Linked DNA regions of Struthio camelus. The main gene of each other region encodes a partner of the protein of the gene in region 3 in a complex. Links are inferred from orthologs where the notes say so. Each region holds a gene or a part of one and is shown on either strand. Other genes may lie near its edges.

What was found.
Region 1: the proteins of EDN1 (region 3) and EDNRA are in contact, whole or in part, in a cryo-EM structure (PDB 8HCQ), measured with the Homo sapiens proteins. The link is inferred for Struthio camelus from reciprocal best matches to the Homo sapiens genes EDN1 and EDNRA. Residues at the interface, in NP_001403492.1 of Homo sapiens: Cys53, Ser54, Leu58, Asp60, Lys61, Glu62, Cys63, Val64, Tyr65, Phe66, Cys67, His68, Leu69, Asp70, Ile71, Ile72, Trp73; in NP_001948.1 of Homo sapiens: Tyr68, Gln72, Thr73, Lys74, Tyr129, Asp133, Ile136, Asn137, Lys140, Leu141, Gly144, Arg145, Trp146, Gln165, Lys166, Val169, Glu220, Phe224, Val227, Phe229, Tyr231, His236, Lys237, Thr238, Cys239, Met240, Leu241, Asn242, Gln252, Lys255.
Region 2: the proteins of EDN1 (region 3) and EDNRB are in contact, whole or in part, in a cryo-EM structure (PDB 8XWP), measured with the Homo sapiens proteins. The link is inferred for Struthio camelus from reciprocal best matches to the Homo sapiens genes EDN1 and EDNRB. Residues at the interface, in NP_001403492.1 of Homo sapiens: Cys53, Ser54, Cys55, Ser56, Ser57, Leu58, Glu62, Cys63, Val64, Tyr65, Phe66, Cys67, His68, Leu69, Asp70, Ile71, Ile72, Trp73; in NP_000106.1 of Homo sapiens: Pro88, Pro89, Ile94, Glu95, Ile157, Asn158, Lys161, Glu165, Asp166, Trp167, Val177, Pro178, Gln181, Lys182, Val185, Phe240, Ile243, Met245, Tyr247, Leu252, Ile254, Leu256, Leu257, His258, Pro259, Lys270, Lys273, Leu277, Trp336, Leu339.

Annotation. Positions count from the first base shown.
Region 1 is NC_090945.1:35,585,530-35,593,380, reverse strand, and holds the start of EDNRA (endothelin-1 receptor), read right to left. Parts: upstream 3,086-7,851; 5' UTR 2,812-3,085; exon of another isoform or gene 2,761-2,811; 5' UTR 2,463-2,760; intron 1-2,462. UniProt on the Homo sapiens protein: Receptor for endothelin-1. Mediates its action by association with G proteins that activate a phosphatidylinositol-calcium second messenger system. The rank order of binding affinities for ET-A is: ET1 > ET2 >> ET3.
Region 2 is NC_090942.1:176,373,941-176,381,338, reverse strand, and holds the start of EDNRB (endothelin receptor type B), read right to left. Parts: upstream 3,086-7,398; 5' UTR 2,891-3,085; intron 2,613-2,890; 5' UTR 2,568-2,612; coding exon 2,085-2,567; intron 1-2,084. UniProt on the Homo sapiens protein: Non-specific receptor for endothelin 1, 2, and 3. Mediates its action by association with G proteins that activate a phosphatidylinositol-calcium second messenger system.
Region 3 is NC_090943.1:100,617,276-100,624,250, reverse strand, and holds the start of EDN1 (endothelin-1), read left to right. Parts: upstream 1-3,921; 5' UTR 3,922-4,092; coding exon 4,093-4,411; intron 4,412-4,564; coding exon 4,565-4,700; intron 4,701-5,705; coding exon 5,706-5,864; intron 5,865-6,135; coding exon 6,136-6,243; intron 6,244-6,975. UniProt on the Homo sapiens protein: Endothelins are endothelium-derived vasoconstrictor peptides. Probable ligand for G-protein coupled receptors EDNRA and EDNRB which activates PTK2B, BCAR1, BCAR3 and, GTPases RAP1 and RHOA cascade in glomerular mesangial cells.

The DNA.
Region 1 (7,851 bases), on a different chromosome or scaffold from region 3:
CGAAAACAAAAAAGGAGAAGGAATCAGAATCAATGCAACAGGCACAATACATGCTGTTTCTCATTTAGGAAGAAGGGTACTTGAATGTACAGTTTTTACAACAAATATGTACAAACACATATTTGTAATCACTGTGCTATTCTGAAATCTAGATTATCCACATTATTAAATGGCTAGCAAAATTGAAACACAAAAAATCCCTAACAGTAATTGAAGCTTATAGAAATGGGTTCCTGCAGAGTCCTTTTAGTTTGAGGCAGGATTTGTGTATGAAAGGAAAAAATATGGTGGATGAAGTTCTGTTAAAAAATGTAATTTTGCAAGAAAAAGTGTCCTTCAATGGTCCCTCAATAAAAGGAAGCCTTGAGGACTCTAATGAATGATACTTTGGCCCAAATACCAAGTTATTATTTTAGCTTTCTGCTAAAAAATAAGGTAACAACTCTTCATTAACAATTAGAGCTACTAAATTTGTTAATTTTATGACTATTTAAAATAGTTAGTTTAGTATTCTAGCAATATCTCATGACATTTTCAGATGGGAAAGGGAGCATCAGAGCATTCTGTTACAGTAAGTGTGACTGTGTATGCGTGAAGGCCAGAGCCAGCTCCCTGCAGCATGGGGTAGATACCACCTCCAGAGGAACTTCTACAGTATACAAGCCAAGGAGGTCCATTTTCCTTAAGCCTCAGACTGATTCGGGATTCAAATTTTTAACATGACTTGTCTATGCAAGGCAGGGTAAAGTGCTGCATTGTTGCCAAAAGAAGAGTAGGAAGTTGAGTATTTATAACTTTCTGATTTCTAGGGACTCACATGAAGGATTTGGAAGGATACTTTTAAATAAATAAATAATAATTTCTTTCCCTATGGGACTATTAATTCAGGGTTTATAGTGAAAAATTTACAAGAGAAAGAATGTGGGAGACAGTTTACTGATAGGACTTCTGGACACAGCCAGAGTATAAATATTTACTACTACTATTATCCTCTTCTGTTGTATGTGATTTGTAAAAGTGTGTGTGTATCTGTATACAGCGGCATATGCAATGTTAATCTGAATATTCCTCTCTGGTATGTTGAGTGCTGTCCCTCACAGACCAATGATGCAAATTTACAATGTGTCATATTGGTGTATCTGAGATGAGGATTTGACCAACTGTATGCTTGATTTTGAGGTTTGAAGCTAGATAGCTAATCTTTTTAAATGACTGTTATGTTGGTGTCTGAGGGCAGTTAGTAATACTTTGCAGGATGTAAGTGCATTCACTTTAGGATTCTAAATCACGTCAGAAACAACAGGCACGCTTTACTTTAAATCCTTTCAGGCAAGTACTAATACTTCTATTATTGGTTACGACTATAGTTTCCCAATTTACAAATGGGAAAAACTGAATCACTAATGCTTTAAATGACTTTCCCAAGTTCATACTTGCCCAAGTAAATCTGTGGCACAGCTATGAACAGCGACCACAGCCCTATGCTTTAATTGCTATATTCGTCTGCTCCTTATTTAATGACGTTTTCTTCTGCGAATTTAATATGTACAGATCATATAAATATGGTGGCAGCATGGTAATCATGCAGCTAGCGTGCGAAGCTCTGAACAAAATTGCCAATTACCATCTCTTCCCTCTCCCAGAAGAAATTTTCCTTTAAATAACAAAGCTAGTAATTTCTAGGAATGTTTTCCTATGGATTCCTGACAAAACCTTTCATTCCTCTGTGCATTTTTTCAATGTATCTGTATTGTTATAGACTATAATAACAACATGCTAGTATCTATACTAAATTTTCATTACAATGTAATCCGCTATTCTTCTTCACATGTAACCTAAATACCTAGAATACGTGAGGGTGTTGTGTTGTGCAGGCCATGTGCATGTGCAGGCCGTACGCTCGCACAGCACGGCAGGAGCAGAACTCCTAACTTGGGTACATCTCCTGCCTGGGGTATCACGCACGAAAAATTCCCGTGCCGACACTCACAAGAAGAAACAATACTGTTGGAAATGAGATTACTCAAAGTATCAAAGACAAACTAAAAGCATTAACACTGATTAATCTGCCCAAAAGGCAGCTGAAATGTAAACAGAGTCCAACAAACTTCAGGGGGGCAAGAAAGCTCTGAAGCACGGCCGACAAACTGAATTTCTCTTCGTTGTCTCCCACTCTAGCACAGATAGCGTACTCTGCTGTTGGGATAATTGCCTTGTATTTCTTCCTCATTCTCTGCTTGTAACACTAGCAAAAGATCAATTCCAACATGCCCTTGGCAAATCAGTATTATCTCTTCTCCAGCCTATATAGATCATCTGACAAGATCTATATATGTTCAAGTTTATTTAATAGTATCCCGAGCTGCCTTGTGCCTCTCTGTCTCTTGTTGTCTCTCTCCCCCCCCCCCACCCCCCGCCCCTCTCTCACACGCACAGTTGCACCATCATCACCTAATCATTACCGGGAGCGTTATCAAGAAGCGCTGAAAGTGTCCCACGACTCTCGCCCGGACCCTCCCGGGCAACGGGCAGCGGCTCCCGCCCGGCTCCTGCAGCGGGAGACCGCGCACTCACCCCAGGCGTGCGTCTTCCTGCGGGCTCACCCTCATGTTGCTGCTGCGCCTGCTGCTGCTGCTGCTGCTGATAATTTCCTCTGAGTAGCTTTTCCCGGGGTAGTCTTACCAAATCCTCCTGCCTGCGTCTGACTGGGTGGGATTGAAAATCTCCACCTCCGCTAAATCAGGGAAAGAAAGAGACAGACTGAAGGAGAGCGTCCCCTCTTTTCTGCCCCCTCCCCCAATTAAAACAAACCTCCAGCCCAAACTGAGCCCCTGCCAATGTTAAACACAAAGGCTGCCTCCCGGGCACAGGGGATCACTGAGCTCTTTAACTGTTTCCTCCCTGAAATGGAGCTGAAGTACTTCACTGGACTCATTTAAGCAACAGTAGTGGGAATCCACTACTGTAGCTGTCTGCTAAAGTAGCACAGGCATTTCACAGAAACATTGTAAGTATGGTTGCCCCAGACTGTATAAGAACGAAAAGCAGAGCAGGGAGAAAAATCTCGTGATATAGTTTTTGTTTTGTGTTTTCCCCAGGTTTGGGTAGGATTATAGTATTTTCCAAGACAATCAGTAAAACTAGAAGTGTAAGAGTTTCTGGATCTTTCAGGAGTGACTGTTCCTGGATGGAATTTTTTGTGATCCATCCAAGACCACTTTGCTAGTACCTCTTATCTGTTTCCAGACCAAAAAAGCATTTAAAAAGATAATAAAAGCATAGCATATACTAGCATTTCTGTGTTTCCTAATACTGTTCTGTCAAGGTATTCTGTCAAGGATGTGCATTTCGGGTTAAATTTCCATCTGGCTGTACCCCAGAAATAATTTTCTAAACATATATGGGCTTCTTTTGAATATAAAAGGGCAATCTTCCTAAATGGGATGTAAAAATATGTAGTCCTAGAAGAGTAAGAACCAATTGAAAGGAACAAAAGAAAATGTTACGCCTAAAGGTCTGCAGAGTTAAAATATCTGGCACCAAATCATGTGAGAAATTGTTTTGATCTTTATATGAGTATTAGATAATAAAAAGCTTCTATAGATGCTCTCTTAAATCATCTGACAAACCTGGTACAGAAAAAAGCAGCATCTGGATCAACTGGAACAGTAACACTTTATTTCTTCTAGAAAACCATCTCAGTTATATGATGAGTCAGAACATAAGATCTTTGAAGGAACAGAAGTGTTCAGGCTGACAATCTTAAGAAGCCTACTGTTTGCAAATCAGGTAAAAATGTTTAATTCAAAATCTCAAGTTGTCTTGAAATTGAATAAATGTGATAAGCCACTAAATTGGCCATGTGATATTTGTGAAAGTTATTTAAAAATTCCTTACAGTTTTGTCACAGATGCTTAGTATTACTGGTAGGCTTTGTCAAGAATCACCTGTATAATAATTTATTGACAAAACTATTAAAGACCTAGAAAGCATGTACCTATAGATCATGCACACTTTAGGAGTGCTTCATCAAATGCAATTCTTAAATCTCTTATATATTCTCCAAACATTCCTAACACCCTATGCATTTCCTCGGGTCATTTGACCTTTATATCTAAACAACTTGACTTGCCCAGCAAGATTAAGTTTAGATTTCTGATCTCATTCAAACACACATTTTTCCTTCCAGTTCATAATTCTATTAATTTAGAAGGTTCCTATAATCTATTCAGACACTGTCATGCTTAATTATATTTACTATGAAATGGAATAATTGGATTTAGTAATGCTGCTAAAGTCTATTTTAAAATATGAAAAGGGAGAACTATTTATTACCATTGTGAATTCCTCTATTATTACCAACCCACATAAATTGTATTAATTATTAGAAATTACTGTATTGCTCGTAGTGGTTCCATGATCTTTGTTGTTGTTATTGTTCCTTATTTGGTAACTGAACCTTTGTTTTGCCTTTAATCTTGCCAGGTACCTAAAACTGAGCTGAATTCTTATCTGAGACTAAGTTAAATTCAGAAGTTATATTTAATCATTCCTGCTAATTTCTTTGACTGTGTTCAGGAAAGTAACATGGGAAAGGAATTTATCGTATATGAATTCTCTGAAAACTGATATTAAGTAAGTGCAGTTGGCCTCAGCTACTAAGAAAAGTGACCAAATACTGTTCTTTACACCAGGATATTTTTAGGTATTAGAGAAGTTTTCACGGTAATTGTAGGACTGCTGTCCTCTCCGTGCATTCTTTTATTGGAGAGTTACTGGTTGAGGACTCTCAGAATCAGTTTAGTTGAAGTATTTCCTCCAACCTCTTCCATTTTGTCTCTTCAATAAACTACTTCACTTTTGGTTTAAGCTTCAAAGATTCAGAGTAAGGATAACGTGTTACTGGCCTTACAGATAACAACACGTTATTCTTAAGTTTTAAGGCTAATAGGAACATACTTGGGTTTTGGCACTTCAGGAAGACTCTCAACATTTTTAAAGCTGTTATTTTTCCTGGAGAATTCAGCTATCAGAAAAAAATTCTTTACTTCAAGTGTTACAAGCCTAATGATACTAAAACTGCAGTGACTTTTATACAACTGCCTCAGAGGCAATAAAAGAGAATCTTTAGTTATGTTTGGAGGAGTTAATTTTATTCAATTAAAATGAGTATCATTTAGTAAATGTATTACCTGTAAGCTACTTACCTCCTCAGATTTAGTATGTAATATAAGCATATGTTCATCAGCTTGAGGAGTCCTAAATCCCATTGCTGAGGTTCAAAAGACCAAAATCAAGAAAGAGATTCCCTTATAAGTGGCAATCTCATAAGCTATCAGTTGATATGCTTATAATCTGTAGCATTTTCAGAAAATCAAAAGAGCTGTTTATGGCAAAGTGTATAAATCTCCCGTTATCTTGCTTTCTTCCACTTGATTTCTGATACAAGTTTTGTTCCTTCAAGAAAGAGTGCAAAATATTATGTTAAGAGCCACTTGGATATTTTGGAAAAATGAAACTACGTACTTTGGTTGAAATACTAGATGACTGTTTCACATTCTATTCAATAGGTAGAGCTCATGAATAGTTTTCCTTTATGTTTTTGAAAATGCCAACTCATCAAATCCAAAACTTTTCATTGCAAACATACTAGTTTGAGAAATATTTGTTAACCAGGTTTCTCAACTTTTATTAACCAAGATTTAGTCAGAATTTGCACCTCATTGAAAAAAGCCAAGAATCTAAATCATAGGCAGTATTTCTATCTCGTATAGATTCTCTGTTCTTTGAAAAGAGTTGCACTCATGCAAAGACTTTAGAGTAATTCAGTTAAAAAGTAAATCTAGCATGAGATATAAATTCATTGCAGCTCATACTCTATTATTCCCAGTGATCATGGAACTATTTGCTGTCTATTCCGTGAAGTTTCTGTTTCCCAATTAGCTGTCTTATTTAAATTGTGTCCCTGGTAATGGCGTATCTATGTATCTCTGTATATGCCTAACACAAATAAAAACTCTTTCTGGCAATAGTATCTTGCTCGTTCCTCCCTTCCTCCTCCCTTTTTTTACTTTCTCACTCATTTCTTTCATATTTCTAGAAAAAGTTAACAACTTATAGTAGGGATTTATAATTCAAAGTGGCTTATAGGGAGAATACTTTTATATTAGAAATTAGTTCCAATTTCTAATAATTGGAAAGGTATTTTGATTAGAACTGTTGAAATGTTCTTGTGTTGGAACTATGGGAAGTTGAGACACAAAGCTATGATGGAATAAAAAGGGAACAAAGGATGAAAGTTTAAAGGATTGAATGGACCATGGTGCCAAGCATTTAATATAGGAACAACTGAAGGAGCTATTGCACCCCAAATGGAATTATTAGTCAAGAGCTGTGGACGGGGAGTTGGATTTGGATCTGCATTGTAGCTCCCCTTCCTTGATATTAAGGAAAAGCAAGATATTATGTTATTGTCTTCAGACTGATTAGCCAAACCATGTTCTTAGTAAATTAAAATATAAATTTTGCAGAAACATGATAGAAAAGTTCTAATATGAACTGAGATTGCTGAACCTTTGGTGTGGAGACTAGAGAAATAGTAACCTATATTGTTCACTCTCTTCAATTATTGAGCAGAATCACAGAATCACAGAATGGATGAGGTTGGAAGGGACCTTTAAAGATCATCTATTCCAACCCCCTTGCTCAAGCAGGATCAATGAGAGCAGGTTACCCAGGACGCTGTCCAGACAGCTTTGAATATCTCCAAGGGTGGAGAGTCCACAACCTCTCTGGGCAGCCTACTCCAGTGTTCAATCACCCGTACAGTAAAAAAGCTTTTCCTTCTGTTTAAATGGAATCTCCTGTTTTTCACTTTAGCTGAATGGCAGAGCTCAGAGGGTGGTGGTCAGTGGCACAGAGGAGGCCTCTAATTGGAGGCCAGTTACTAGCGGTGTACCCCAGGGATTGACACTGGATCCAACCCTGTTCAACTTATTCATCACTGGATGATGGGGCAGAGTGCAGCCTCAGCAAGTTTGCTGATGATACAAAACTAGAAAGAGTTGCTCATACACCAGACGGCTGTGCTGCGAGCTGTAGTTGACCCTGCTTTGAGCGGGGGGGTTGGAATAGATGATCTTTAAAGGTCCCTTCTAACCTCAACTGTTCTGTGATTCTGTCACTCAGATCAAACTTCCATTGTGTCAAGAGTATTTTGATCTCATTTTTACAATTGTAGTGTTCAAAATACTTTGAAATATCCTGTGTTTGCTGGTGAATAATATGATATTGAATTGAGCATGAACTACAATAATAATAGTACCTGTAAATTAATATTTTGTGGAAAATGGGGTAGTGTCCAAAAGAATAATGTGATGTTTACTGGAATGTTAAGCAAACAGTATATTTTTTTCAAAGTTAGTTCTAGGAAGGCTTTTTTTTTCTCCTCTCTTCTGAGGCCAAGACAGTAAAGCTATTGACTGCTGAGAACATTTGCCAATCTTCAGCTGGTTCTCGTAATTTGTCCTCGTTGTATCAGAGAAGGCATACTTTCCCATTGCTGTTAACTCACAGCAATAGCCCTTAAATCTTAGGCCTCCATCTTGTCCTTGATTAGCCATAATCCATGTTTAACTTTCATGCATAAGTGGGAAACTCAAATTTTAAATATGAAAAAAATATTATTTGAAATTAATAATCCTACTTGCTCAATTGAAGGTTATACTAGCTGAATAGAGTTTGTCTGTGATCCAGCTACAGTGATGGAAGAGTTTTTGCAGGACCCCTTTGGTTTTTTACTCCCTTTTTTCCAATTTGTGAACCATAAGTTGATAAAATGGCCACAGCAGG
Region 2 (7,398 bases), on a different chromosome or scaffold from region 3:
TTTTAAACAGAACAAATTCTTTCACACTCTTTTCCATGTAGCTGGCTAGCTGTGTATCTGACAGCAATTCTGACGATCTACTTCATTCACTTTAAAATTGTTTCAAATTGCAAGTTACAAATGTTAAGTACACTTGATTTACAAACTAAGACTCTGCTAACTTTTGTTTTTCCCATACTACTAGATGATTATAGTCAGGCTTAACTACTATATTACACTACTATGTTGTTCCCCAGACCTACAAAGCAGCTCTGCGGTGGAACTATAGGAGATGTAGAGTTGAAAAAAAGTTATCATCAACTCAAATTACACTCAAACTATTCAATTTTGATGAAAAATCAAATTAATACAATCTATGGTCTGTTTTTTTTCTGACTATATTAATTCAAAAATCTTGTTTTAAAATGGCAAATATTTTACTCACTATTCTAATGGATAATGTAATTCTAATGTGGGCTCTTGGTAAAGATGAGTGGCAGCATAGGAGTTTTGTCACCTGAGAGCTTATGATAAGCTCCTAGTATTATCAATAGCGCAGTAAGAACCCTGGACTTGCAGCTTGTCTAATACTTATCAGTAGGCAAGCTGACCTTTCCTCCAGCTCCAGCCTACTCATGATGATATACTTGATGATATTCAACCAAGATAAGGACTGCAATATATTACTGCATTTTATCACTGATGTATTTAATTTTGACATGTCAGTGTCCCTGAGATTGCAGGGAGCAATTGTGTTACTGTATGAACAATTGTATTATTGATACACTATTTTTGCCTTTTTTGAGAACGGATGGAAAAAATCTTTCTTTTCAATTAATAGTTTCTTATAATGTTAAAGTTATTGAAAACAGTTAACCCTGAATATTTTTTTCATAAATTCCACTCTCACTCAGAAGACTGGTAGCCTCATATGAGAACTCCCATAAATGTATTGTATGGAAATTACTGAAATTACAAATTGAAGCAACTTTCAGGTAATCCAAGTTATCCAGCCCAACAGTTTGACACAATTATGATGACGTGTAAGTTCACTGCTTCATTACTTCAGAAATACAAAAATGCAGCATTCTCCCCTTTCAACAACTTCTGGGAGAAATCACAACTGATATAAAAGACTAAATTCAAAACCTGTCAGTTCAACACAGCTTTCCAAAGCTAAAGTAACAAAACTCAAAAGTTTAAAACCATGCACACGAAGTGAGGAGAAGGAATAGATAGATGAAGGCTCTCATGTTCACTTCATGCAATAGCTGATGGGTGCACAGGAACCTAGACTGCAAACTTTGGGGCAGAAGGCAGCCTTGTTTTCCCATCATCCCTCCCAGGAGTCCTGATCTTAACTAGAGGCTGCATTCAACTCGAATTCATAAAAGCAAAGGGACTGCTCAAGCTGGGTAGATAGGGCACAGATTGCACTCCTTCTGCGGCAAGCTTTATCACCTTAAAGAGTAAGGAAGGTGTAAGAGATGAACTGCAAGAGTAGCAGGTGTGGCTACTCCCTCTCCACTGCTCATGCCGTAACACTCTGGTAGGAGTGTGAAAGGGGGAGAGGATCACAGTAACAGCATATCTCACAGCCACTGGATGTTTAAACAAACACAAAGCTCTCTCCCGCCTGCTCTGTCAAGCCCTCAGCTTTAACCGGGTTGGTTCCTTCAGCAGAAGGAGCTGAGCAGTACCCACGCTCGCGGCAGAAGTGCTTCTCTGGCATTCCTCCATCCCTTGGGAAAGGAGGGAACCTACAAATCTAACGCACTCCTCATTTCCTTCGTCCCTGGGACAAAATCTGTTTCCAGGTGACTTTCAGGGCCACGTTACCTCTAATCACGAATGGCCCCCTCTGCCCTCGTCCCAAACCCATGCCCAGATCTGGGAGGGCTGCGACAGGGTCAGAAGATGGGGGCGGTCTGCAATTAGAGGGGCAACATGCAGCCCCAGTTCCATCCCGTGGCAGGTTTTTGGCCGAGGGTTTAGCCCCCGGCGTCTCCCCGCCGGGCCAGGTGGCGTTTCGGCAGGGAGCCCTGAGGAGAGGTGGCAGGCACCGCCACCCCCGCGCGCGGGCCCTTGGCCGGCTGCCCCCTCACCTTGTAGACGTTGATGGGGATGTCGATGATGATGTGCAACAGGTCCCCCAGGGCCAGGCTGGCGATGAGGATGTTGGGCCCGTTCCTCATGCACTTGTTCTTGTAGATGATCCGCAGCAGCGTGGAGTTGCCGATGATGCCCAGCACGAAGACGAGGCAGGACACCACCGTGTTGATGTACTTGAAAGTCTCCTTGATCTCCGTCTGCCCCGTGCACATCGGGGGTGAGGCCGAGCGCGGCCTGCCGCCGGCCGCCCCCCCGCCCTGGGGCAGCGAGGCCGGGCGGGAGGCGTTGGGCTCGGCGCCGCGCAGCCCCGGGGTCCCGGCCGTCGGGGGCACGGCCTCGGCCGCCGCCGCCGCCGGGCTCTGCCTGCCCGGGCGCGGCGGGCGCAGGGAGCCGTCGCCCTCGGCGGTAGCGGCGCGGCCGGCGAGGAGCAGCAGCAGTAGGAGAGCGGGCAGCCGCCAGAGGCGGGCGGCGGGCATGGCGCTGCGGCACAGCCGATCCTCCGCAGGGCGCTCAGCGCCGACCTGCGCGGAGAGAAGCGACAGGGCGTCAGCGCCGGCGGCCGCCGTCTCGCCGGCCACCCCCCCCCCCCGCCCCGCTGCTGGCCGCGCCATTCCTCCTCCCGAGGGGCTGCCCCCCGCCTCGCCGCTCCGCACCGCACCGCAGCCCGGCGCTGAGGGCAGCCCGCAGCGGCAGCCGCGGGGAAACCTGCGCCAACAGCAGCTCGGGCGACGAGTCCCCGCCGGCCGCGGCTGCTGCGCGGCGCCCCGCTCTGCTCCCCTCGGCATCGAGCTCCTCTCACCCAGCCCAGCCTCGCCGAGGCGCCTCGCCCGCCGCCTGCGGGGCGCTGCCCGCCCAGCGAGGGAAACGCGCTCCGCCGGTTACCGCGCTCCACGCCCGGCTCGCTGCCCCACGCCCGGGGCCAGCGGCGGCAGGCACCGGCTCTCGCCACAGGACGCGGCGGCTGTCAGCAGCGCACCAAACGCGGCGGCTGAAGCCGAGCCAGTAGGGCAGGGCCGGGCCCCCCCTCCCTTTTCTAAAAGATTCAATCGCATCTGTCCCATCCGTCACGGCCAGACCCCACCCGCGCCCTCCCCCCGCACCTCCCCTCCCGGGCCTCGTCCCTCGGCCAAGCCCGCTGGGCCGCCCGGCCGCCCGTGGCCGTTCCTGCCGGCGGCGGAGCCGGGGCGGGGGGGCGGCCGAGGCGCCGCGCCCGCCCCCCGCCCAGGCTCCGCCGCCTCCCGCCCCTCGCGCAGCCCCAGCCCGGCCGGGCGGGCCGGCGCCGCGAGGGGGGGGGGCTGCTCGCGGCGGGGGGCGTGGGGGGGAGGGGCGTTGGCCCTGAGGTGCGTCCGTTAAACCGTGGCGGGCATCGCCCCGTCTCGCCAGGCAGCCGGTACCTCGGTGTGGGGCCGGCGGTGCGCCCTGGTCTCGCCGGGCTTTTCTGCCGTCCGTCCTCCTCCTGTGCGATTTTTAAAGCAATTTGCAAAGCGAAGTGGTTTTGTTGTTGTTGGGTTTTAGAGTTTTTTTTTTTTTCCCCATTGTGAGAGGACCTCTAGGGGAACGACAAGGTGTTCTCTCTGCTCTCCCTCCCCAGACCCGTTTCCAGTAGCTGCTCTACTTTCCCTCTGCGTTTTACTCCCCGCTGCGAGCAGCCCCTCTGCACGTCCCGAGTGGCTGAAATGCTGAAGAAGTTGCTTGTGCGATGCCTAAAAGGCTAGCGCCGTGCAAACTCGGGTACCTGCTTTGAATACTATTTTTATAAGAAGTAGCATGTTGATTTCTGCGAATGTGCAGTGATCCAGCTTGGCTATCTCGTCGCCACCGTTAGGCAGCCTTAGAAACAAACGCACCTGATCTCAGCGAGCTCCGTCTTGCCGTTGGGCCCTTCAGTGACCATAAGGAGCACTCGGATTCGTACAGTGTCTTGGGGAGAGTCAGAATAGCCTCCGAGGGGTGGAAACAATTGCACATCTAACTGAAAATAATGCAGTTTAAAGCTCTTTTCCAGCATCTCTGCATGTCTCCACGATCTGTTTAAAATCATGCTGCAAGCTAAATCATATGCAGAAAATAAATGTATAGCCACTGATTTACACAAGTGACCCACTCACGTTATTGACATACTCTTGAGGAGGAAACACCACCAACAAAATACTGTGCTTTCAAACCTCTCCCTAAAATCAGTCTGACCTATTTCATCTTATTTTCTTTCCAGCATCTCCTGCTAACACCCCCTTGAGAGACTGCAGCAGCCAGTCTTTTCTCTTCCTCTTTTTGCCCCCTTTTCACATCTTCAGCTTTGTTTCAATGTCTCCCACATCCAGTGCTTTTCTCACTTAACCACTTGTGATCCATTTCCTGATTTAGTTGGCATGTTCTTTTTTTCCCCACCTTATTTCATTTGGTGCTATTTGTAAAATAAAGGCACCAGAGTCACTTCTAAGCTGTGTGAGTGTAGTGGAAGTTGATTGTACTCTAGCTGGAGAAGTGATTTTCAGAGGTTCAGACTTTCTCAGATTATGTTTTACAGTAGGGTAAGTTTTGCAGTACCAGCTGATTCCACTCTCATTGCGTCGGTGTCCTTGACAAAATTGTGTTAGCCCTGTAGTGTTCTCAGACCTGGGGACTTAAAGTCTTTACAGTTTCCAGTTCTGCCTTCTCTGAATTTCCAGTTCTGTGATCTGTAAGGGAGCAATGTTTTGCTAGATGTGGTATTGATCTTTCCTAGAAACTCCTGCCAACTAACATAACATTAACTTTTATCTTGAAGTGCTTGTTGCTTGCAGGGTCACCCGCTAAGTCTCTAAAACTCTTAGGCTGACCATCGAGAAATAGATTGCAACTGCACTGCTGTATCTTTCCTAACATTTTTGTTGGTGCACCTATTCTTGCTGTATTTGCTACGGTTTGGTAGCAACATTTGCTACCACTTACTTAAGCATCAGAAGTGAAAATCATAGAAAAAGCATTAGGATATACAGGACTCTAGACAACTGCTGATACCTAAACAGAATTACACTGTAGTACTGCACATAGTAGGTCTTTGGGACGAAGCATCCAAACTCTTTCTGGCTGCCAGCAATTTGTCTGTACCAGCTCTTTTAACGTAATTACTGGTTATGATGAACTGTCAATAATGACAAATTTGATGGCTCGTCAGAAATGATGGGATAGGCAAGGCAATACCATCCTTCTTGTTTCTCTTCTGTTCTTTTCAGGGTTTAGAATATCTGAGAAATTAAAAAGAGCACGTGCTATCATGCAAGTCTTCTTTAATTTGGGAAAAAGTAAAAGATAATATATTGCCACAGAAATGTGTGTGGATGTTAAAAGAATATTAAACTGAGAGCATAGGGGATATCTTGGCAAATTAACTGTTGTTTAAATGAAGAAGCAACTAACGTGCTAATAATCTGTATTGCAACAAGAAAAAAACATCTGTGACTGTAACAGACTGGTGCCCTTAAATGGTCCATGCTAATTAAGTTATGAAATAAATTCATTACTGAATGGTATGTAATTCATTACATAGGATTATGCAAACTGCCACTAGTGTATCTGGATTTTTTTTTCTAAGAAGCAGAAATACTCCCTTTCCTATACAAAGTTCAATTTCAAGTGCAAAACAGGGAAAGTTAGATCACCATCCAAAAGCTTCTTCAGACTGTCTGATGTTCATTTTATTACGTTCTTTACTTCCACTGAATTCCAGCGCTCTGCCTATGAACCATGGCCAATGAATCTTTTAATTCTAAGTCAGATGTAACTTTGTGATCAAGGACTGATAATGCTCTGACAACATTTTCTGGAGTATCGTACACAGAGTGAATAGACTGGGTAATCTGTAATCAGCACCAGAATGGTTTTCAACATCAGAAAGATTTTCCAACTTGTTCCATTACATGTAGAATAAATCATGAGCAGTGGTCAAGATTATGATATCAGAAGATCTTTTTATTAACACCATCCTGAGACACACCTCAGGAATGTATATTTTAATTCATTTTATACTCAGTGAATTAATGGGAATTTTGTCATGAGCTTGCAGATACTTTAGCAAATCTCTTTAATTATCTATTTACATCTTTCAATGCCTAAGTAGCACTGAAAATCTGCTCCATCAGGCCTGTTTTTCCTTTTATTGAAGCCAGTGAAAATTTGCCTACTAACTAGGACAAGTTCAGGATGAATAGAGAGAATAGCAACCTCAGTGTAAGCTACTCATTAGATGCATGAGGTGAATTAAAGTCTGAACATTGTTTTCTGTATTTTAAAAGTTACCATAGTAACATTACCAATGACAGTTTTAACCAAATAAACAAAATGTACTTTGAGAAATTCAGAAATTAGAATGTTGCAGTTTTGTATCTGGACATCATTAATACTAGACAGATGATACAGAAGAATAACACGTTTGTCTCAGTTTTGTTTTCCTTAGTCTAAATTCATGCCAAAATGGCTTTGAAAATGGCTGGTCTTTTCAGTGTGATGCCTAGCTGTGTTTTGTCTTTTCTCCTACAGAGATAAGCAACTTCCATAAAATATGGTTCTTGTCTTTCAATTGCAGTGTATTGAAGTTACACCTAATTCTTGAAACAATGTGAGCAATATTTATTTTATCAGAATAAAACAATAGTAGTAGAAATCACAAATGAAACATGAAAGTTGAGAGCAGATACCTGTTTTTATGTAGGAGTTCCATCTTTTATCTTAAAGATGTAAAATGCATGACAATAATAGACTGAATCAAATTTGTGCTAACCAAACACTCAGTTTTCTCTTACAGTCCTTATTTATATGATTTTGAGGATTTTTAGAAGGGATAAATTTCAAGCCTTTAAGACAGATTGGTTGCCAGCTGAAATATGTTATTTTCTCTTCTAAGATTAAAAATAAAATGACGTTTAGTAAAACACATTCTCCTCATCCTTCCTATTCAGCGTCAGGAAAGGAAATCACAATGTAAATTTAAGTTCTAAAATTAAAGTAGTAGCATGTAATTAACTCAAAGTAAGCTGAAATACACTGAATTGCAGTCTTTTAAGGAAAAGCTACAAGAAGTTGTTTAGGGATGTAGCTGGAGGTTTGGATTAGTAGCATTTCTGCATTTTTCTGAAATAATTCAAGGCACTATTTTCCATATTAATTCAATAGAATGAAGGTGACCAGGTTTAGTTTTAAATTCCAGCTGCAGTTAGGAGGTTGGATCAGAATCTCCCAGGAAGCCTAGATAAGATCAATTGTAAACAAAAATGTCATTTTTTTTTTGCTGCTGGGAAAGGTATAAGTTTCTTCAAAGGAGGTGATAAC
Region 3 (6,975 bases):
CATTGATAACCAAAAATAGTGCAAAAAAAAAAAAAAGGAAAAACCTGTTATAGACACCCTCACCAGTGCTGTGGCTTTCTATAGTGACTAGCTTTACCCAGCAGTGACTTTCTCAGTCTCAACAGAGCTAGAAAGATCTTCCTCCTTCTCAGAAGCCCCATGGCATGGGCTGTTGGAGAAATAACACCTGACGCTGAGCTAGGCAGTGACACACGTGCTGAGACTGTAGCCAGTATTTTAAATCATATCTAGTCATGTCACTTGGTGCTAGGACACGTATAGGCAGGAAGTTTTCTTTTTTTCATCTGATGATGGGCTTTGTGCACCAAGAATCATATGGCTGCCACCTTCGTCCCTAGTTTAAACAGGGTTTAGCATGCAGTGTGAATTTTGCAGGGAAAATGATGATTGGTGGGATCGGCGAGGGGAAGCATCCTGATGCATGCTACAAATAGTTGGAGCTGAGGTTGCTGGATTAGTAGCTAACCCTGTCTCTCCTCCCCTCTGCACTTCAAGAGGTCCAAAAGTGTAATGTGAGATGGGCTTTTATATCCTTTGAGAAAACTCACTAATTAGAGGTGGGAGGAAACGAGGAAAGTTGGTTTACCAGAAATCATGCTTCTGCCCAAGGACCCTGATAGCAGAAGTATCTGTAATGAGAAATAAATATATTGTAGCCTGGGTAGTGACAGATAAGAATAAGGTCACTTTCAAGACTAAATTAGTTAGCTCTTGAATTTGCACGCTATAGAAGAAGGGTAGAAAAGTGCTTTCCCCCTTGCATAAGAAGGTGGGGGGGAGGACTGGACAGCCCTAGGAGGGAAGGAAGGTGCAAGAGAGGCAGTGAGTGAAGTAAGGGGACAGGTTGTGCAACTTTCACTTAATTGAGAATTGTGTTTCAAATCTGCAGAAAACAGCATGTTTCTCCCCATGTTCCCCAGACAGAAAAGCACAGTTTTACAATCTCCTTTTACTGTTTCGCTGATAAGCAGGCATTTCACATTTCTGACACTATACAAAATGTCCTTTAGAAAACTCTTTGTCAGTGCCACAGCATTTTCCAGCTGGAACATTAAAACCAGATCTTGGCTGGCCGGCTTAAGTTCTTACCCCACAACACAGCATCTCTCAGCTGTGGCTGGCGCAGGTACTCAAGCTAGAAAGGGAAAAAGCCTGCTGGAGAAACACTCACTTCTTCCCTTGCCCAAATGGCTAGCAGTGCAAATATATCTACTTCCAGACCTTTAGGGCAAGCTGGCTTGGCACGAACCAGAACAATTTGTTGAGTGCATGACTTTGTATTACTGTACATGACTTTGTATTTCCAGTCTGCAAACATTGACTGCTGGCCAAAGTTTAGTCCCATTCTACTTATAAGACCCCTACTGTGACCCATACTGTTACACATGTGTATTGTAAATAGCTATAAAGTTAGTGGATCTTCCTTCTTTGGCAAAACTCCCAAAAGGTATCTCTGCGTGACACAGACCTGCTCCATATTGCCCAGCCTCCAAGGCATGGACAGAGGGTTACCTTCTTTCTGGGAAAACCCATTTCCTAGCCTGGTAATCCCCACTTCCTGAAATAACCCATTTGGGTCACCGGCAGCTGAACATAAATCTGTCTTTGCCTTACTCTAACAAGCAACAGGACAACTTGATTCCAGTTAGTCTCAAGACGTGAAAATAGAGATCTCAGAAACTGCTGAATCAGAGGATATGGATCTCTGACAACAATAATATTTAAAAATCCTTACCAAAAATTGCGGCAGATGTTTTTGTTTTTTCAAGAAAAAAATGAATAGCAACTTCAGAGGCCTCCACAATATCATATTTGTGCTTTTTTACTTAGAGGAAACATGTTTCTTAGTCTGCATGCCATTTTTGCCAGCTAACAAAAAATACTTTCTAACAAGGAATTTGCACAAAGCTGAAAATATCTCACACTGATATGAGTCATTTAGGCTTTATGTGCATGTCTTGGAAAAAGGAATCTGAGGGAAAAATGTCTCTCTTTAAATATGTGCTTGCATGAAACAGTTTCTTGCCAGGCCTAGAAAGGCTAATGCACACTGGCGTTATATACAGGAGTGATAACTATGTTTCACCCCACAAAGCTGCTTTGTACGCCACATAACCAAAATAATACCACTTAATTTCTTTCTCAACTTTTGGATGCTGGTAAAAATAAAGTTTATTATTTCAGTGGGTTACTATTACTTTTTATATGTAGCTAGGTGACCTCTGCTGGTGGATTCTTATCATAACTCTACTAACTCACATATAGATACATTGATATTCTGGTAAATCCTGCCCTACATACACATAAGATATAATCCCTGCTCTGAAAAACACACAACTCCCATGCTGGAAAGGTGTAAAAAAATTATATAAGCTAGCTTTCTCTCTTCACAGAAGCTTTAGAGATCTGTACTATAAACAGGTATGAACATCTCTGGATAGGGCCACTGGTGTTTATTCAACGTATTTGTGGTCTAAATGGTGCCTATTTCTCAGAAAGCCCCTAAACTTCACCCTGAGAGAGCAGGGAGGTTATACTGAGGAAAGGATTAGTCTTCACTTGCTTTCCTTTCTTGTACTCGTTGTCATACTATCTGTTAACAGGTGTCGTGGGAGAAAGGATACCAGCTAAATGGACCTCTAGTCTGACTCAGCACGGCCGTAGACGCTCTGTCCACTATGCTACAGCAGCACACTGTAACAGGATGCTTAAAAAAAATTGCCATTCACCTGAGCCATCGCAATACAACTTGCAGTTAACAACCTTGGTCTCTGTGATACCCAAGGTCATTTCTATTATTACAGCACAGTGCAAGGAAATACCACAAATACCGAGGGAGCCTTATCTCTTTATCATAGGTGAAGCTGGCACGCTCTGCAGCGCTGGGGCTCCACCTCCGATCGCAGGCATCGGAGTTCACTTCAGCGTGTAGTCCGAGGCTGGCTTTCTGAATTAGGAGGTCAGGAGATTTCAGGTGTGTATGCGTTTACCACCACATCGCTACGCTCATTTCTCGCGTTTCCAGCTTCCAGATTGACAGCAACTGCATCTCAACGCAAGGCAGCAAACATAAACGCACCAGAAAAAAAACTAGTCCTGACCTCGCCGGAGCTAGCGGTAGAGCCAAAGGCAAAGGCCAGGCACAGGTCGTCCCTTCCGCTAAGCACACGCGTAACGTGCCAGGTCCCCACAGGCAGCCTGGACCCCAAAATACCCTCTGTGGCAGGGCGCCCTGTGGAAAAGGGGAGTTAAAACGGGGCCTTGCTGGCGTTGCTGTATAACCCCATCGCATGGCCGCAACCAAACCCAAACCACCAGAGACAGGAGGGGCACCGGTGGCCTTGCAAGGGTGCGCAGGTGGGAAGCGGGGGGGGGGGACACGGCGCAGAGATGTAGCTGCTACCCCCCCCCCCCCGGCAGCCCTATTTCTTCGCACTGAGGCGGCCCTGGGGGCTCCTGGGCGGCTGCGGGGGGAAGAGGGCGGCAGGGGCTCCCTCTCCCCGGCGCGCGCCCGGGGCCCCAACGGCCGCCCCAACGGCCGCCCCAACGGCCGCCGGGGTGGGGGGGAGGGGAGGGGGGGGCGCGGCGACACCCCACGGCGGCCGCTCCCGCCGCGCCTGGCTCGCCCCGCTGTTGTACCAACCACAGCTACAACCATCGCAGTAATAATTGTCCTTAGGACTGTTGTTACTCAGCCCGCTGCCTGCGGCCCTGCGCGCCGCCGCCAAGAGGCAGGGGCGGCCGGGCGCCGCCGTCAGGTGCCGGGCGCGGCGGCAGCGGCGCTGGGGCTCGGGGGGGCTCGGGGGGGGGGGGGGTAGGGAAGGGCGCCCCCTGGCGGCGCAGCCCCGGCCGTCGCCGGCCCCCACGCCGCCGCCGCTGCCCCGTCCGCCCGCCGCCCTCCCCCCCGGGCGGGCGGGCCGCCCGCCGCCGCCGCCGCCTGCCGCTCTGAAGTTTGCAGGCGATTTCCTTTCCAGCCCGGCCTTATCTCAGCCCGCACGTTGCCGCGCGGTGACTAATAACAGAATAACATTGTCTCGGGATAAAATAGCGCCGGGGCTGTTTACCCGCTCGATGGGGGTTCGCTATAAAAGGGCGCGGGGACCGCCGCGCCAGCCAGACGCGCCGGGGCGCACCGAGCCGCCGCGTCCCTCCCCGCACGCCGCCGCGCACTGTTCGCGCTGCGAGGGGTTTTATTTTTTCCCTCCTTTTTCTTTTATTATCCTTTTTTGTTTTTTGCGTTTTTCCTTTTTTTTTTTTAATTTTAATTTTTATTTTATTTTTCCCCTTCTCCTTTTTCGCCGCCGGCTCCTCTCCCTGTTCCCCGCTATGGATTATTCGCACATGATCGTCTCGCTGCTGGTCGTGGTCTGCCCGGGACTGCTGCCGGCAGGTAGGTGCGGACTCCGCGCTCTCCCTCGTTGGGGAGGAGGGGGGTCGGCTCACACACCTGGGTGAGCCCCGATGCTCCGTGCCGCGGAAGGGGGGGGCGGGGGGGGGGTCCGGCCGCTGCGCGGATCTAACGCGCCTCCGCCGCCGCCCGCAGCCCCCGGAGCCGCCGCCGCGCCGCCCCCCGCCGCCACCGCGCACCGCCGCGCCCGCCGCTGCTCCTGCTCCTCGCTGCTCGACGAGGAGTGCGTCTACTTCTGCCACCTCGACATCATCTGGATCAACACCCCCGAGTGAGTGGGCGAGGGGGGCAACCCCTCCGGCACTTACGCAGCGGTGGGCTTTGGCCTGAAAAACGGGGAACGAGGGAGGGGGGAGCTTCTAAACCACAAACTCCCTCGCAGAGATTAGGAAGGGAGGAAGGAATATATATGTGTATATTTTTTTCTTTCTTTTTTTTTTGTGTACGTGGTCACTCCTACTGCTTTCCCTGCTCCTCTTTTCCTGTTGAGTTTAATGGACTGTCTGCTGGGAGAAAGCAGGCAGGATTTGGCCAGCGAGATTGAGCAGATAACTCTTAATAGCCCTAACACACCTGCGTTCCTGAAGCGTAGGCAAGAGGCTTTCCTTTGGGTGCTGCCCTGCAAAGGCTGTAGGATACTCTTTGCTATGAATCAGAGGTGAACAAAACGCTAAGAGCGTGATTTTTGCCAGCTTGACTTTGCATAACTATTCTCCCAACAAGTCAGGAGGCTGAAGGGCTTCCTTTGGCGTGAGGTGGCTCCTTGCTACCTCTTGCTACTGCTGACCACTGCAAATTAACACATCTCGTGTTTAAGCAGAGATGGGTACAGTGTCAATGCCTGTTTCTGCAATGTCCTCACCAAAAAGTGCAATTAGCCAGAACCTCAGCTGACACTGCATACGCTGCCTTCGGTGATCTGTTCTATTGCTGAATTTTCTGTGACTGGAGGTGATCTATTCCTCACTTTTATTACTTTTTTCAGTTATCAAAGTTCAAAGAGAGGAGGTTTTATTGCATTCTGTTGCATATGGAGGCATACCAGGCTCATGAAATCACAATTTAAAAGTCATTAGCCTTGTCAGTAGCCATGCTAATTAGTATGTTGCAGGAGCATCAGAAGCACTTGCTTGGAAATTATGACCCGCAAAGCATCCTTGATCCCATAAGCTTTACTCATGCAATCAACCCCATTGATAAGGCTGCCCACAATACCCTGCTGCTCTGAAGCCACAAGATTATTTGAATTGTACTCATGTTGACTCTTTGATCATAGGAAGACCGTTCCTTATGGCCTTGGAGGTCCTTCTCGATCCAGAAGATCACTGAAGGACATAATGCCTGAGATGCTCACTGAACCTAGCAGCAGATGTCAGTGTGCCAACCAGAAAGACAAGAAATGTCTGAGTTTCTGCCAGACAGGAAAAGAACACTGGTGCGTTCATTGTTATGGCTCTTTAAAAGACATGTGCATGTGAAAGGGCCAGATTGTGGTACTCTTACTCGTTTTGGCACTTGCTGTGTGAATAATCTTCCCAAAGCCTTACCGCCTACCTCGCTGCTCATACTGCTATAACACATACCACGGTTTGGCCCAGAAGGATTGCTTATTGCATGCCTTGCAAAGTGATAGATTAGATGCATCTCCTTGTGGACTACAGAATTTTGTTTTGTTTTTTAACGACCGTGTTTTTTCGCTTTTACAGGGCTCAGTCCACAATGGAGAAAAGCTTGCGTCACCGCAACAAAGGTGGCAATTGCCTTGGACCAAAATGTATGAACCAACAGTTTGTTGGCAGCAAGAAAATGAAGAGGTGAGTTTCCTCTCATCCTGCTGTCATTCCCCAGAGTAGCAATAGAGAGCGTGGTTCTCCCTTTGGGTCAACATGAACTTAGCTGGTGATTTCAGCTCAAGTATTTTGGAGGAATTGCTGAGGGTTGTTGTGTTGGTTTCTTTTTTGTTGTTGTTGTTGTGAAGTTGTTAAGACAAGGGCGAGCTCTGCCTAGTGTCATCCACTTAGTGTCATACATGTCATCCACTTGCTTAGAGGAAACAGACTTACTCTCAGGCCTAAAGGGATACCAAGCTTAAGAGTATGAAATCATTAAATCCTGACAGAAGGAAGCAGAGCCTGACATCTTAGTGTGTTCATGTGTTATCTCAATTACTTACTATGTCTCAATTATTCTTCTAAAACAAAATTGAGTCAGCATGCCTTTTCTTAGGTGCTTTAATGCATTTTTCTGGAAAGAAAAGTTACTGACCTATCTGGATCTTAAACATATGATTTCTTCTGGCTGGTGTAGCTGGCTTTTAGAATGCAGCAAAACAGATTTCTTGCCTAATCCCTTACATTGTCAGATAAACCTGTGTAAATGCATACAGGATGCTAGCAATGGAAACGACTGCAAAAAGGTTGAGGAAGGTGAAAATGAAGATTAAATTAATATTTGAGGCTAATCCAATACCTGAGACTAAGACTAAATTAAAATCACAACTGCCCTTTGAGATCTATGTGTAATATGTTGAGTGGCAGTAGGAAACA